Caenorhabditis elegans: one gene and its partners. The protein of the gene in region 2 purifies or fractionates together with the protein of the main gene of each other region. This does not show direct contact. Each region holds a gene or a part of one and is shown on either strand. Other genes may lie near its edges.

What was found. The genes of interacting proteins can lie anywhere in the genome.
Region 1: the proteins of sas-4 (region 2) and F59A6.12 fractionate together in Caenorhabditis elegans (co-fractionation; one large-scale study listed by BioGRID). This does not show direct contact.
Region 3: the proteins of sas-4 (region 2) and F18C12.4 fractionate together in Caenorhabditis elegans (co-fractionation; one large-scale study listed by BioGRID). This does not show direct contact.

What each region holds. Positions count from the first base shown.
Region 1 is NC_003280.10:5,010,273-5,014,068, forward strand, and holds F59A6.12 (C6 domain-containing protein), read right to left. Parts: upstream 1,807-3,796; 5' UTR 1,785-1,806; coding exon 1,727-1,784; intron 1,678-1,726; coding exon 1,502-1,677; intron 1,460-1,501; coding exon 1,316-1,459; 3' UTR 1,251-1,315; downstream 1-1,250. Other genes in the region: F59A6.3 (Sushi domain-containing protein), read left to right, coding at 1-209, 259-302, 348-470, 522-819, 870-907.
Region 2 is NC_003281.10:8,313,130-8,321,105, forward strand, and holds sas-4 (Spindle assembly abnormal protein 4), read right to left. Parts: upstream 5,460-7,976; 5' UTR 5,453-5,459; coding exon 5,360-5,452; intron 5,312-5,359; coding exon 5,216-5,311; intron 5,136-5,215; coding exon 4,791-5,135; intron 4,675-4,790; coding exon 4,455-4,674; intron 4,413-4,454; coding exon 3,880-4,412; intron 3,704-3,879; coding exon 3,260-3,703; intron 2,990-3,259; coding exon 2,831-2,989; intron 2,785-2,830; coding exon 2,597-2,784; intron 2,549-2,596; coding exon 2,489-2,548; intron 1,736-2,488; coding exon 1,447-1,735; 3' UTR 1,220-1,446; downstream 1-1,219. Other genes in the region: F10E9.2 (uncharacterized protein), read left to right, coding at 215-262, 317-398, 447-725, 770-894, 942-1,157; F10E9.11 (rRNA-processing protein FYV7), read right to left, coding at 5,617-5,884, 5,942-6,009; F10E9.10 (uncharacterized protein), read right to left, coding at 6,500-6,556, 6,601-6,717, 6,764-6,871, 6,916-7,020, 7,071-7,151. UniProt on the Caenorhabditis elegans protein: Required for centrosome duplication. Plays a central role in determining centrosome size.
Region 3 is NC_003279.8:8,059,539-8,063,911, forward strand, and holds F18C12.4 (Small integral membrane protein 29), read right to left. Parts: upstream 2,430-4,373; 5' UTR 2,256-2,429; coding exon 2,239-2,255; intron 2,076-2,238; coding exon 1,976-2,075; intron 1,928-1,975; coding exon 1,826-1,927; intron 1,722-1,825; coding exon 1,422-1,721; intron 1,374-1,421; coding exon 1,305-1,373; 3' UTR 1,251-1,304; downstream 1-1,250. Other genes in the region: K04G2.10 (uncharacterized protein), read left to right, coding at 266-940; che-3 (Cytoplasmic dynein 2 heavy chain 1), read right to left, coding at 2,521-2,967, 3,181-3,563, 4,013-4,145, 4,216-4,373.

The DNA.
Region 1 (3,796 bases), on a different chromosome or scaffold from region 2:
ACAATCAACAACATCTGGTCCGTCTACTAGTTCAGGGCCATCGACCGCTTCTAGAAGTACTGTATCCACTACATCAGGTCCATCCACAACATCTGGACCTTCAACAACTTCCGGTCCTTCTACAACATCTGGAAGCACAAAATCAACAACCTCTGGTCCGTCTACAACTTCAGGAAAAAATATTTCAACTGTTTCAGGAAAATTAACAGGTAGCCCAAAGGATTATTAAAACCAATTTACAAATAAAAACTAATTCAGGTTCAACGACATCAGCAACAATTTCAAGTGCATTTGGAGGGAATGTAACTTCACATACAAGTATTATTTTAGGTATCAAATTTTTATAGGTGACTTTTACCTCAAAACCTTCAAACTCATCAGGAGGGACAACATCTTCCGGGAAAAATTTCTCGCAAAATACAACGTCTGCAGCAAATGGAACAACTCAAGCAGTTAACAATGGCAAATCTGTAAGTTATATAGAAAAATCACTGGAAAAGCCAGGAAAAATCAATTTTCAGGGCTCAACACTTCCAACCAATTCATCTTCTGGATCTTCTGATTCATCAACATCACCATCAACATTCACAGTTTCTTACAACAACACAAATTCCTCTATCACTTGCATCGAACCATCCCTGAACTTGACCTACACTTCCAGTCCAACTTCTTCACAAATCAAAAGCAGTTATTCTGTCGGAGAGCTCATCACTCAAGTTTGCCCGCAATCTTATGTTTTTGAAATTGCACTGCAACCTGTGAAGATCTATAAGTGCTTGAAAACAGGAAAATGGGCAGGATCACCAGAGAATTGTATTTGTAAGTTTTGAAGTATAAATTGTTTAAAAACAAATGTGTGACTTTTTCAGATGGAAAGAGTGAACTAAAATTGCCAACAAGACTTTAATGATTTGTTAAAATTTTAAATCTATGTCCGGAAATAAATTAATTTGTGTTACTCTGAGAAACTTGACAATTAAAGTTTGTGAATATATTGAATACATCGGTAAAATATTTATTTAGCTTAGGCACCGAAACGCCTAATTTTAGAGGCGTAGGTCAACTTAAAGGCAAGTAACTTGTAGTGCACTTTTGTTGTTCAAAATATTCTGAAAAATGTTTAAATGTGATCTTTTAGGGTATTCAGACACAATCATTATGCATTTCGGTTCCAATTAATGGTTTTTTCTTCATAAATTTCAGTCAAAACTTGGGAAAAATATTTTTTTTTAAATGAATGTACTGTGAAGTTTAGTATTTATTTTATTACTCATTTTCCTATTTTTGAAAGAAAAATATATTTTATTCCAAATACTCAATAAACAATCCAAACTCCGCCAGTAGATCTCATGATACAACCAATATTGTCATATTTATCGGATTTCTTATCAACTTTCCACATTTGAGAAGAAGTGTCGCATACAAGAGACGCCGAGATTGAAGATGAACCTTTTTTGATCTCGAAAAAGTATATTTTTAAAATTCAAAAAAGTTTTCTCACGACTAAAGGCTTTGTATCTGCCTGTTCCGTTAAATTTCCAGAAATTCCAACTGCAACATATCCACTCCCATTAGTGTCAATTTGACAAAGCACTGAAACTGGTTCAGAACATTTAAAGTCTTCTTTTGTAACATTTGTCATAGCGGAAAATGAATAAGCCGGGAATTGGCAACATTCTGGAACTAATAGATATAGTTAAATTAAAAATGTTTTTATGTTTCCTACTTTTTCCCAAAATTGAAACAGGAAGTGGTAACAGAACCAAAGCGAATAAATAATTCATGTTTTTGCAGTGAATTTTCTTCAAAATTTTGGTTTTATAGCATCTATTTGAACACATTCTATTATGGAATTTGAAACAAAAAAAGCTGACGCACAGCGATGACTAATCGTGTTCAAATGAAAATTATTGAAACGAACAGATTGAACAGAAATTCAACGGAAAAACAAAGTTGAACTTTCCATACTGAAAATTTTTAAAACATACATAAATTCAAACTTTCCTCAAAACAAAATTGGAGTTCTGTTTATACAAGTGCTCTTTACTGTAAGCATATTTTTTTGCGAAATCATACAAGTAATTAATCGGAATGCATTTTTCCATATCATGAATTTGAAGGAAATCTCGCCGCACCTGCTGCTGCAAATCGGTGAGCATTATAAAACCTTTTGCGTCCAGTGGTCGTAAGTCATACATAACAAACCGACCACACCTCGTTTCCAACACACAATCGGATATACCAAGTTTAGACAAAGAGGATTCAAGTCATTGTATTATGCCTTTGCCAATGAACAGAGAAGAGATATCAAGCGGCCTCTTGTGGGTTAAATGTAAACCATTTGAAAACGTTTTAAAAGCTGAAATTTTGAAGAGAGCAAAAGAATGAAACTTGCAAAATTCATTCATTAAATAAGATCAAGCAGGGCTCTATGGATTGTACTCGAGGGTTTTCTTATCAAGCCTTCTTTGGGTTGAACTCGGTTGGGAGTGGACCTCTACCTCCACCAAATTTGGTGCACTTTTAAACCTAAACATTTTTAACAAGAGAAAAAACAACGAGCTTTCAAAATTCATTTATTGAGCAAGGTCGAAGAGGGCTCTATGGGTTGTACTCAATTGGAAGGTTCTTGCGACGAACCATACCGTCTCCTTGGAACCATTCACGGCGGAATTGCTTTGCAGCTCCATCCGGGGTGTTGGTCCACTCAACAGTAATACGGTCGTTGTTAGTGTCCTACTGTCCAAAGGCGAAGGCATCACAGGAAACAGCAAGAAGGACTGCTTCCTTTGGGTCCAAAACTCCACATGGTGGATCAACTCCAAGTCTCTTCATATTGGTGGTCTTGATACCGTATCCAATACGGCGAGCCGAGGAGTTGATCACCTTGATGTGGTAGGTGTGCTTGTCATCGTATGGTGCATTGAAGACGATCTTCGTACCCGGCTGGGTCTGGATATCTCCTGGTGGGACGGATTGGGCACTGGCGACTTCTTTGTAGAGTGTGGAAACTTACAGTGAAGATTATGGTAAACTCTGCTCAATTTATAGCAAATTTCTCTCTTATCTTTGTCCCAGATCTTTACAATAGCCACGTCACATAAAGTTCAGAAAGTTAATAAATTAATTTAATGATTTTTAAAATCCGTGAAAGAGTTAAATTTTAGGAATGATTTTGAAAATATATTTTTAATCTATTGCCGCACAGGTCTTTGGCTTCAGCATAACTATGCATGAAAAAACATGAAAAACCCATCTTACTCTGTTCGGCCCTATCAAAAATCTCTAAAAAATGTTTCACTAGATATTTTTCAAATTTTTTGAATATTCCGACAAGAAAGCATCTCATTTCATATCTTCAATTTGACGGAAGTTTAGTTATAAGTTCCAAAGTAGTTTTAAAGTTCAAGGCAAAAATTTAATCGGATATTAATATGACCTTTTTCCTGTTTGTAAACGTTTGTTTTTCAAACATCTCCTTTTTTCAGGAACTGATCTTTGGGTTGATAACACATTTTGAATTTTCAAAATCCAAATCCTTACCATGATATTCAACGAAATTCTCAGCAAAAAAATAACCAAAAATAAAAACTCAATTTTTGATTCAATTTAACTTTTGAAGATTTCAGGTGATTTTATTTTCAGGGTCTTATATATTTCCCCAACATCTTCCACCTGCTAAGTTGGCTAACCAATTTCCTTTTTTTCAGTAAAAAATGTTGATGCCCACGCCTTTTTCCTCATTTCTCAATTCATCGTGAAAGCGGTCCCAAGAGATATTGGAGCGTGTATTCTC
Region 2 (7,976 bases):
AACGAAATACTGTAACTTGTCAATTCTGGGTCGCTATTGCATAATATTTTTATTTGAAAAAAATCTTGGCGCTTCATTGGAAAAAGATATTTAGCGGTCCATAGATCTACACGAGCTACAGTAACCTGCTGTGGCGAGGTATATTTATTTGTGCATGAATTCTGGGCGGCTTTCACTTTAAAATCTGGATATATTGAAAATTAATATTTTTCAGGTCGGAGATGAAATGGATTTTTCATTACAATGTGATGCATGCAAGAAAGTAAGATTGTTTTACAAAATGCAGGTTTTTGAAAGATCAAACCAATTATTCCAGTTAATCATTGGGTTAAACAATTTGGATCGTTTTGATTGTGGGCACTTCTACTGTCTGGTGTGTAGTCCACTTCAGCCAAAAGGTAACAGAAATTGATCAGAAATCTGATAAAAAGAGTTCAATCTTTCAGAAAACCACTCGTCTTGTGCCACTTCGACATCTCCGTCAAATGCTTTTACGCGTGAAGTCTCACCGCAACAAATTGCTGAGCATACTGGAGAATTGTCGAATAATGGAGCTGAACGTGGAAAGATTCGAGGAAGTACTCGTGCTACTCGGAAAGGATCTGTGAACAAATCAAAAAGTGGAAGGACTCGTCGACATAAGAAGGTTCCGGATCAACGTCTTTGGTACTTTTTGTACCTTTCAAAGCCAGTCGTTGTCAGCCTTCCAACGGATGCCACTTATCGTAAGCTTAAGAATCTAAGATTTTTAAACAATTATATCGTTCAGACGATCTGATGGCTCGACTCTACACGCTTCTTGGTGTCAGCGGTAAGACCCATATGATTACTCTGAGAACTCAGAAATCATCGAGTGAAGAAGGCGAAGGCGAGTTTTCTGGTCGAGGTGACCCGGTTAGTTTTTTGATATTCTGAATATAAAAAGATAAGGATGATTGTAGGCTCCTCTTGAAGTCGGCGATTCGAAAACTCGTCTCAGTGATCTAAAGATTACACGTCACAAGATGCTGCTCCTGGATGTAGATGATCAGAAGAAAGATGGAAGTGGTGAGGAGAAGAAAGAGAAGAAAAGTGCGGAAAAAGAAAAGAAAATCTCACACGAAAATGTTCAAAGTTTGAGTCCGTCGAGTCGTGCAGAAGATCCGAGATCATCTTGAAATGTCTCCAGTGTTCCAATAAATCTTTGCAATCTGAATCCCGAATTTTGTGCAGAACATTTAAAGTTAAAATTGTTTATAACAGTCAATAAAATAACCATGAAGATCAATATGAAAGAAATGGGGGAGGGGGCAAGTGAAAATTGAGATAGTAAAAAATGATTGAATTATTTGATATGATTTTACAGGAGGTAGAATTAATTATAATTTTAGAGCACTCAGGAGTGAAAAATAATGTCAATGGAATAGATATACAAACCACAAGTTAAAATAAAGGGGTTGGAATTTCTCATTTTTTCCACTGGAACAAAGTTGTTTTCCGACGTTTATCGCCTATCATCTCTGCAGTTTCCAATGTACCTTCACACGTGGAAAGATTCACTTCAAGTCTCAATGTTTTCTCGCTGCATTCAGGTCGTCCAATGATCTTGAGAATATACTGATTGTTGAGACCAGTCGGATCTCCCTGATACCAACGAAGACGGAATTCTGGCTCAACGAGCTCAAAATCGTTGTAATCAGTGACGAGAACGTAGCGACATTGATTGTCGCGATATGTGTGTGTACCGGGATTGTATCTGAAAATTTGATAGGTTTCAGAGGCAAAAATATTTATAACGGGGTTTTAAACCTGTTTTACTAACTTTTTGAAGAATTGAGGTCATATTCCTAAATTTTGGGTTAGACAAAAATTATAGAAACATGTTTTGTTTGAAAATATATTATTTGCTAAAATATCGTTATACTTATTTGAGTTTTTTTAATGAATAAATTAAAATTCATCGAAAAACTAACTAAGGAAAATCGATGAAAATTCTGTTTCAAATTGAGTTTGAAATTACAGTACTCTTTGAAGGCGCCAAATTTTACAATTTTTTCGTTAAAGGACAGATTTTTAAATGTGAAAATACGTGCGCCTATAAAGACTGTTGTAGTTTGGTTTATTTATCTTTTTTCTAAACTAATAAACATGTTTTTATCAAAAAAAAAAGGGGCAAACAACAATTCGACAGTAACGCGATTTTTAAACTACAGTAATATTTAAAGGCGCACGCCTTTTCCCATTTAACTAAATTTTATCGTGCCGAGACATTTTTTGCCGCAAAATGTCACATCTCTTTTTTTATTTTTGTTTCGTTTTATTTATGTAATTTATTTATGTAACCACTTGTGATGGTTTGTATCTATTAATGTGTGTGTGTTTTTTTTTCTACCTAACGATATCTTCTATCGTAATAAATTAAATTAAATTAAATTAAACATCTGGGTAATAGTTTTGAGATTTTAATGGTTTTTCTGAATAATTAATTGGAAAATGAATAGAGACTCACTTTCTCGAAACTTCTTGATTGCTAAAATCCTTCGTAACATATCTTCCGTCCCTATTGAAGCTGAAATACGAAATTTCCGATGAACTTTAAAAAAGAAAATAATCTTACATTTCAGTTTTATACATTCCGTTTTGATAAATCAAATCAGTTCGAACTTCTCGTCGTTTAATACTTATCAATGTTATGTTATTTCCAGGACGAAGTACTTCAACTTGCCTTTGAAATGTATGAATAATTGAAATATTGTATGTGGGGAGATCAATTCTGACTGTTTTATCAACTGCGGATATGTAGATCTGTAAATTGGTCACTTTAATTGACAAAATTCCAATTAAAACTTACATTAACAGCGTTCTGCCGATTAACCCATCGAAGATCTCCATTGGAATATTCGAAAAGAAGACCGTTAGCTATTGTATCCGTCACTTTAGATGTTTCTCCAAGAGAATCTCTGTAGATCGTGCATTTTCCAAATTTTCCCGGCATTTCTTTGACTGGCATCTTCAAAAAGCATGATTTAAAATTTTTTTTTGACAATTTTCGGTAACTCGAAAACTATTGATTTTTAATTCTGGGAATTTTGAAAAATCGGAACTTTCGGCAAATGCTAATAGTAAGCTGTAAATTTTTAGACTTAAAAAACTATTTTTCAAAAATATTAATTTTTTAGTCGGGAAGAAAAAATAATTTGAAATTTTTTTTGAATTGATTTTTTCAGAGCAATATTCTAAAAACAATTTTAAAAAAACCCTGCTTTGATCTAAATATTACCATCAAAAACTCCTGTGGTACAGCTTCCAATGATTGTTCATTTGGTTCATCTGCCCAACTAACACCTCTTTCTCGATTTGATGTAGATGGTTTTCTAAATGTTGTCAACGAAGATGATGATGGATGTCTAGATGGACCATTTGATGTTATCGAAATTGGAACACTTTGATTCAAAACTGGTGGCACTGGATTCGAAGTTTTTCGATTCATTGCAACCTTCGCGAACATCTCCTTTTCTTTATCGTCGCGTTCTTTTTCAGTACGTAATTGTTTTACGCGCTTTTCTAAAGTCTGTAGAGTGCTCTTTAGCCGGTTTCCGTCTTTCTGAAGCTTCTCGATTTCCTCGTCTTTTTTCTTGAGCTTTTCGTCTCGAACACGTATATCCTGTCGATATTGTGCATTCTTGGTTTCTGATGCTCTTAATTTGTCGCGGAGAGTGGCTATCTGAAATTTGACAAGTTTTGCTGGATTTTAAATTAAAGGTTTTATAATAGAATTTCAACTTTTTAAATTCTCAATTTATTTCAATGAAAATTTTAGATTTTGCTTTGAGAAAAATTTTCAATCGAAATTTCGTGGTTTTTCTCGAATAACTATTTCTTGCTTAAATTCTTAATTACCGTTTCTGTGAATTCTTTATTCCTTTCTCCCGTTCCTTTCTTCAATATCTTCTGATCTCGTTCAAGATCTCGTTGATCCCTCTTCAATTTCTCGTAAAGTTCATCATAATCTTCCTTAATTTTCTCAAACTTCTTCTCAAATTCTTCCTCAACTCCTTTTTTGCATTTCTTAAATTCTTCTATCAGTTCTTTCTTAAAATTATTGACTTCGGAAATTTTTTCTTCGAGCTGTCGTTTTGTGGTGTGCACGGATTCTTCTGCATAATCCAAGTGAGCAATAGTGTCTCTCAGTTGTATGTTCAAGTTACGATGACGTCGAATTTCAATTTCAAGTTTCTGTCGGTCCAGTGATGATCCAGGAACATGTATTGGTTGATCATAAACGTGCTCGGGTCGATTTTCATCTTGAACATTTCCATTCTGTGGATTCTGTCGTGATGAGTTCATCATATCATTTCGTCTCAATGGGGCGGTCACAGTAGGTCTTTCATGGTGTTGTAAAAGGCTTATTCCCGTTTGAGCCTCACTTCGAACTAAAAATCTAATCAATCATGTTTTTTTTGTTATTAACCTACCAAGCTGATTAATTCTATTGCTGCCAAGCGGTCGAGCCTGTGGTGTTTCCAGAGAAATTCCTGATAATTCTTGCATTGAAGACGGCCAATTGTGATTATTTGGGCCAACGCCTAAATCGTTCATAATTGGTGTAGACCGAGTAGGAGGCTCAGAGGAGTTTGATGGTGCACAAGATGATGGCGTTGCCAGTGATGTTGTGATTGTTGAAGCTGATCTCATCTTTAATTTTAATTAATTAAATTTTGAATTAGAGAGTATTCGTAGGTTTTGATTTTTGATACGTAAATCTATTCTATGTAAAATTTCAATTATCATTCTGATTTGGCTGTTCTTACCGAATCCATTCTTCTCTCAAAAGCTTTGAATTCGGCAGCTGCATTTTTATACTTTAAAGCATCATCAGACAATTCATGATCTGAATTAACAAGAGTCGAAGGTTCATCAGGCACAAAAGAAGGCATTGCAGATACTTCATCCGTGTCATTGTCTTCTTCTTCTTCAGCGTGCTGTCCACTGTGGCCATGCTCTTCAGCAACGGAAGGTGCGGGATTTAGACGATTTTCCGGCGAAGATGACAATGATGGTTGATCCATTGGAAGAGATGCGGTGGTTGGTGGACGGGTCTCGTCTTCATTTGATATTCCACTGTCCACGGTTCGGGCAGAGTTCGGGAGAGCATTCTGGAATAATTCTACTTAATATTTATATTTAACTAGTCACCACAGTTTTATAACGTTTGTATTTAAGATATTTTACTTACCGACAGACTAAACCTAGGAACATTAATAGAAGGACTTGAAGCAGATGAAAGTTCCGACGTTGGAGGTGCACCAGCAGATGTTTTGTTGTTTCTAGGCTGAACTTCATATATTATTTCGATAAGCCTTGTATTTGCACAAACTACCATTCTAAATCTTGCTGTTCCTTGTCCTTTTCTCAAAAACGGCCGAGAAGGCTTCTGTTCACCGTCGGCACCGATATTTTCATCGGAAGCCATCTGAAGGCTGAAAAGGTTTTTAATAAATAATTGAATTATATTTCAGAAAATAAAGTATACTATCGGTAAGAAACGAAGAAACGATAAAACTATCGATTTTTAAAAACACAACAATTTCATTTCAACAAAAAAAATCTGAAAATATAAAAGACAAAACAATTAGTTCATTTCTTCTCCTTTTTCTCCTTATCCACTCTTTTCTGTATCCTCTCGAGAAGTACATCCATTTGAGCATTCAGATTTGGTTGTCCTTTTTTATTTCTTTTTGCCAATGCCTGATTCATCTTCTTTCTTGATTTATTTGTCGCTGCAATCGTCTCATTTCGCTTTTCTCGTTCGGCTCGCTCTCGTTGTTTCTCCTCTTCTTTTTCTTGCTTCAGACGAAGATATACGTCTTGTGCTTGTGAAAAGCTCATTTTCTTTTGCTTTTTCCTAAAAATGTTGATGATTTCAGATATATTAGTTTTGAAAATAGGAAAGAAAACTTACGATTTAACTTTTTTGGGTGGTTGCGATGCCACGGCAGTTGCATTGTCTGTCTTTGATCGATTTCCCATCTGAATAAACGATTGAGATTTCTAAGAAGAGATTATGTGAAATTATAAAAGCGTTTTGAAGGGATTAAGGTGGTAAACGGTATAATAACCACAGCGGGGGGTAACGAGAGAGCGTGCAAGACGAAGATGACGCAGACAATTCCCGCCGTCGTGCTAGGGAAAATGCTAGTCCACGGCCATCACAATTCTAGGCCATTTTCAAAGAAAACGGAGGGAGGTTCAAAATTTAATTGTTTTTGTTGAGAAAAAGAGAATTAATTCGAATTGTCCCTCATCATCCGCGCTCGTGACATGAATTTCGAAAATATAATTTATGCCAGTAATGAGTATCAAAATAATATTTACATGAAATGAATTGAGCAAGAGTAAATATCACAGTTCACATAATATTTTTGATTCCTATAAAATGTTTCATATTTGATAAAAACAATGATACAAGTTTTTTCACATCGATTTGAAGAAGATTGGAAATTCAAATATGTTGGAAGGATTATTGAAGTGTGAACGCAATTGTAGCATGTAAAAGGCATAAAAGTATTGAAGATCCCTGAAAATATCGATTTTTAAACAATCGTTGATTGGTAAACCCACAGATGACAGTAACCACTGATCAGTCCATTGAACTTGATTTACTTCAATGGAAAAATGAATTTCTATTACAGAACTAATACCACCAAGTAGAGAACAAAGTACTGCAGATGGCATTTCCTTTAATTTCAATATTTATTTTATTCCTCCTTCCTATAAAACTTACCATAAAATTGAATGTAAGAACACATGAACTACTTGAATAATATATTGCAATTATTAACCAAGAAAACGATATTACCATTATAATCGGAGCTGCTATCACCGGAAAGTACTGAAAGTTATGTCATTTCTTTATGGTACCAAATTGTATGATACCTGTAGTAAGTGCCGAGTACTTCCCCATCGAAATTCCTTCTCAACGACACAGTCATAATTTTTGCAGTAAAGAAGATTCCAGTATAATAAAGAGCAGGAAATAATCTAGAATTATAGGTGTAAACTTGAATTTTCTATTGATTGGTAATTCTTACGATGGAAACAGTGTAGAGGTACAGTGGTAGGCGTGTCCGAGGATATGGAGAACTTATTATTTTTGGTATCACTGTGACCATCCTGAACACATTATTATTATTGTAAGAAGAAAAAAGAAGAAATGAGTTAAATAAGGATGTCAATGGGTAGATACTTGCAGATAACTATTTGTAAAATATAATTTTATAAGTTATAAGTAACGGCCTTGATCGTTTAAAGGATACCGTTTATTTTCAAATGAAACTATTCCCAGAATATCTATTTCAAGAGTATCTGGATTGTCTTAATGAAATTTTCAAACTGGTCGTATTTTGCTAGTTAAACAAATTGATAGAAACTATTCTCGCCAAAATGCCAAATTATCATAGATATATAATTTTTTTAATTGAAATTTTATTGTTCACTGTCAAAAAATATCAGTCCTTATCATAATTTTGGAGGATTCTCTATTAAAAATGAACAAATTATTTCTACGAGTTTTTTTTCGGATTAAAAAAACTAACAACTTTCTAGAAATTAGATTTACATTTATGCTCAAAATTGCTGGGAAAGCCCACATTTTCTTAGAATTTGGCAATTTACCAAAAAGTTGACTGAAAGTTTTGAAACATCTAAAATTTATTTAGGTTTTAGGTTTGAATTACTATTATCCAAAGAATTTTACGTTTTTTTAAACGCAAAGTACCGTATTTCCTCGTCGAAAATCGCAAAATTTCGAATCTAGGTGTACAAAATCTTGGCTTTTTGAAAGTAACAAATCGATAAATTCAAAGCTAATTGATAAATTCAATTTCTGGTAAAACGGAATTTCTGGCGTTTTTCAAATTTCATGTCTTGAAACATGTGTTCTTCAAATAACAATATTTCGGAAATTTTTAAGGTTTTCTGAAGAGGTACGATATTTG
Region 3 (4,373 bases), on a different chromosome or scaffold from region 2:
GATCTCATAGCAAGAGAGAAATGATGTCATCGGAGCAGATGTTCTCCTTTCCTATGCCATTCTTTTTGCTAGTTACAGCACTACATTATCGATTGCAGCTTTGGGTCTCGACACGAAAACGCTCGTCTCCGATATATCGACTGCTACTGTGCTCAATCAAACATTACCCATCTTTGTTCTTGTTTTCCTTATTTTTTATTTTTTTTGGAACACATTAATTTTTATATTTTTTATTTATTTCAGAAACTCAACACTAAAAAGAAGTATGCAACGCTATAATCCACCACAAAGCTCGAATCAAATGTACTGCCCAGGATGTAATCGTCAAATTCGAAAAGTTCAAGAGTTGATGGACGAGAGGTACCTGACAAACATTTGTAATGAAGTGGAGAAGAACACCATGAGACTTCAAATTCAAGATTTGGAGAGACAAGTTCAAATGCGTCGATGTGAGAATCGGAAGATGAAGACTATTCAGGAAGTCGAAAAGGAAGGATCAACAGAATCTCAAGATTCAATTCATGACCATCCAATGGTAAAAGTGTTGATGGAGATCAACGATCAATTGATGATTGAAATGAGAAAAAAGGTTGAAGCTCCAGAAGAATATCCATTAGAAGAATGGAAAGATGCTATTGAACAAAAATGGAGTGAAAAGTATGAAAAGCTTCGTGATTATGCATTGGATCAACAAGACATGGTCAAATATATGGAAGAGAATGATGATCGACAAAAAGAAAGTATTGAGAAGTATAAACGGAAAATTGGTTCGATGAAAAAAGTAATTGAAAAGATGGAATTCGAAATGGCACTTCTTCAATCGGAATTGGAAATGAAAGACTCCTCATGTGTCGAGAAGTCTGTAAATAGTGAGGAAAAGCAGGAAAACAAGGAAAATCTTTCTGGTGTTCTCGATAATAAATTCATTTTCCAGAACTAATAATCTAACTTCAAAATCTCTTTTTTTTTCAATGCTTTATGTTATTTTCTTGCTTTTTACGAATAAAGTCTGTAATGACTATTTTTCGTTATATTGAAAAACCTTGGAGTCAGGAGTCTTCATAAAAGCAACAAACTTGCCCATTTCGGTAAAATAATTTAACTTTTAAAATAATCTAAAAAACAATTAAATGTTTTCTTGGAAAATTGTTTTGCTAAATCTTTTCATTCACCCAAAAAAATCAATGGCTATGGAAGCCCCTCAGTATTGAAAAATAAATGTTCTCAGGTTTCATATTTAGGTAAATTCATTAAATGTTACGAAAACTTTATTTATTCCAATAAGTAATTTCTAACAAGTTCTATCAATTGTCATCATCTACGAGTTCATTTCTTCTGACTAATCGCATTATGTCCAAAATCAATTTCTTTTTCTGAAAAATGAAATAAAATTGAAAATTTAATTTAATTTATGTTCTTACCTTTGCATAGTCATTATCGCTCATTCCCTCAAGAACTGGATCGAAATCTCTTTCGAATGTTTCACTAAGCTTCTGAGATGTTGACACGTGATTTGTCCAATGCTTGTAAAAGAAATGTCTTGAGGAATCAGATTTCCAGGCATCTTTCATCTCGACAAATTGCGATTCTTCTTCCTTATTCCATGGTGTATGCATTAATCCAGTGAAATGATCAATTGGGCGACGACGAAGGAGATGGAGGAGAATGATAATTGAGAATATTGTTAGAAAAATGCAATACATGTATGTCAAGTAGTCGGGCTGAAAATTTTGGATTCAGTAAACTTTGTGGATTTTGAAGATTTGAAACTGGGCACTTCATGATCATAAAATTGCTTTAAACATCCAAATAACAAGGAACGAACCAACAAAAAGCGCTCATCTGGAGGAATTTCTTTTGTCGGTCCATTTATCTTGTGTGGATATGATTCCATTGGTAATGTGTAAAAATGATTGATAAAGATTACCTGTGATGTATTAAATAATTGATTTTTAACATTCATCGATTTTCTCACCGTTGGACCTTTTCCACTTTTCTGATAACCGGCCAATGAATCCATTTGGGTTTCAGGAGATCCATCTGCGAGACGTACTGATAGAATACAAGATAATACTCTAAAATGGAAAGTATTCTTGAGATTGATCTATTTATTTCAGAGGGCACGATGTCCGCCCGCCTCTCGCCCAGAAAACGCCCCACAAATTTGATATGTAGAGCAAGCTTAAATAACTTGTTCACATAGTTGCACATAGAACTGAGATTGAGCACAAAACTTACAAAATTGCACATTCCATTGTTGTCTTCTATTGAAAAAAATAATGATGCTGGATTTTTGAAATTTTCGTTATCAATGTTACAAATTCTACGTGGTTACGTCTAAATAATTATTTGTATTCTCTTGACTTCTGGAGAAGGCAGGGACTCGATTTCCAAAGCGCCGCAAGTTTGGTGTATTGTATTACTGTTGTAGTTAGAAATATATTCTAATCAATTAATAAAACAATCACTCAATCTCCAAATAATATTTATTAAAACTTTATCACGGTTAAAAAATTAAAATCATCTCAAAAACAATGCAACAGCTGCAATATTCCATTGATCGGCTCCACGACATGGCATATTAACCGAGCATATCAAATCAGATCGTTCACTTGAACTATACACTGGTACCTGAATCTGCTCTCCAGTAATCGTTGAAGAACTTTCAGATGTCCATGCAAGAAAAACTATAGGAGCTTGAGAATAAGCAGCACTGGATACTGTAGTTTCACGAAGAAATGAATCAAACGTTGCTCCTTGAAGCAAGAGCCCTTGAACTTGAACACATTGTTTAGCTGGTAGTTGAGAAGGAGTCCATGCTGATGATAAGATCAGTTGATCTAATGGAATTTTTATTTGACGAGATGTTGTTTGACGGAGTGCATTTAAAAAGATGTTTGGATAGAACAAGTCCGAAAAATCAATTGGGGATGAGAGCAGAGAAGATGATTTTGACGATTCGAACAGCTGAAGAAATGTATATTTATTGTGTAAATTGTAAGTTTGTTTAAATGTGGAGTATGGGGAATGGGGATTTAGTTTTAAAAAAATCAAAACTGTTTTAAAATTTGAAATACCACAAAAGAAATACAAATCATATTGCCAAAGAATGAAAAATCCAACTTTAAGTTGACAGCAATAAAGTCATGTTTTTTTATTTTTTATTTTCAAAACTGTTACCTGCAATGTTCCACGTGTCTTCTTAACAACAACATTTAAATAATCTGCAGGATCACTTGGTCCCGCCCACATGCTATCCCATTCATCAGGTGTCTGTTGAAATACAAGTGATTGAATAGTTTTCTGAACGGCTGGAGAAGCCAACGAAGGGGTTTTCATCGATTTTGCCACGTGACCAATGCTTCGATGAAGTTGTTTTATAAGAGAAAGAGCGTTTATAGTTTCCAGACAAAGGACTTCGGAAATCGGATCAGCAGATCGGATTGCTGTCGGAAGTTCTCTTTTTGGTAGATCATCAGATTGGCAGAGCTTCTTCCAAAGCGACACTATTTGTGAAATTTTATCTGATTGGTCGGACAAGGCGTTCTTTGTATCACCGAGTGCTGAAATAGTTCAATACTTGTGCAAATTTGTAATAAATTCAATAAAACATTCAAAAACTTTGTGAATGCGGAGTAGCGTCAGTGGATACCCGAAATGACAGAAAATGGTCTCACTATACCGAATATAGCTGTAAAAATTTTTAAAAAATTCTAATTTTTTGACGAATATTTCCATGACTATATCCATTAATCAAAAGGGATGAATTATTTTTGAATTTGCTTTTTTCTTAATTTTTAAAAATTATTTTTTATACATTTTTCGGCGATAATAAACGCGGGAATTCCACAGCATTTCAGCCTTTTTTATCTTTTGAAAAATTTAAAAAAATCATAAAAATGTTTTACTCTTCTTTTTTATTGTATTTATTGAGCCTGTTTTTGTAATATTACGCAAAAAATTCCACACACGCTGCTCCACCTTCAAACCCCGAGTAATCTGATCTTCTTACCAAGAGTTCGAATAGATGAAATTGTTCGATCAGCTTCAACAATTTGCCACGAATATTTAATATTTTCCGGTAGTCCAAACAGATAAGGCTCATCAACTGATGGAACTGATTTAGAAATGTGGCCAATATATTCCTATAAAATGGTCAAAATCTTGAACTTAAAATTCTCTCAGTTCCCAAAAAAAACCAAAATATAAGTGTACCTGAACATTAGTAGTAGCCAATAAATCAATCCCTTTCACCAATTGTGATCCAGCTCTTCCATTAATTTTTTCATCACAAAAGAGAACATTCAAATATGAATCCAATACTTTAAAATCAAAATCATTTTCGATACGACCTCCGTATATTACAAATTTAA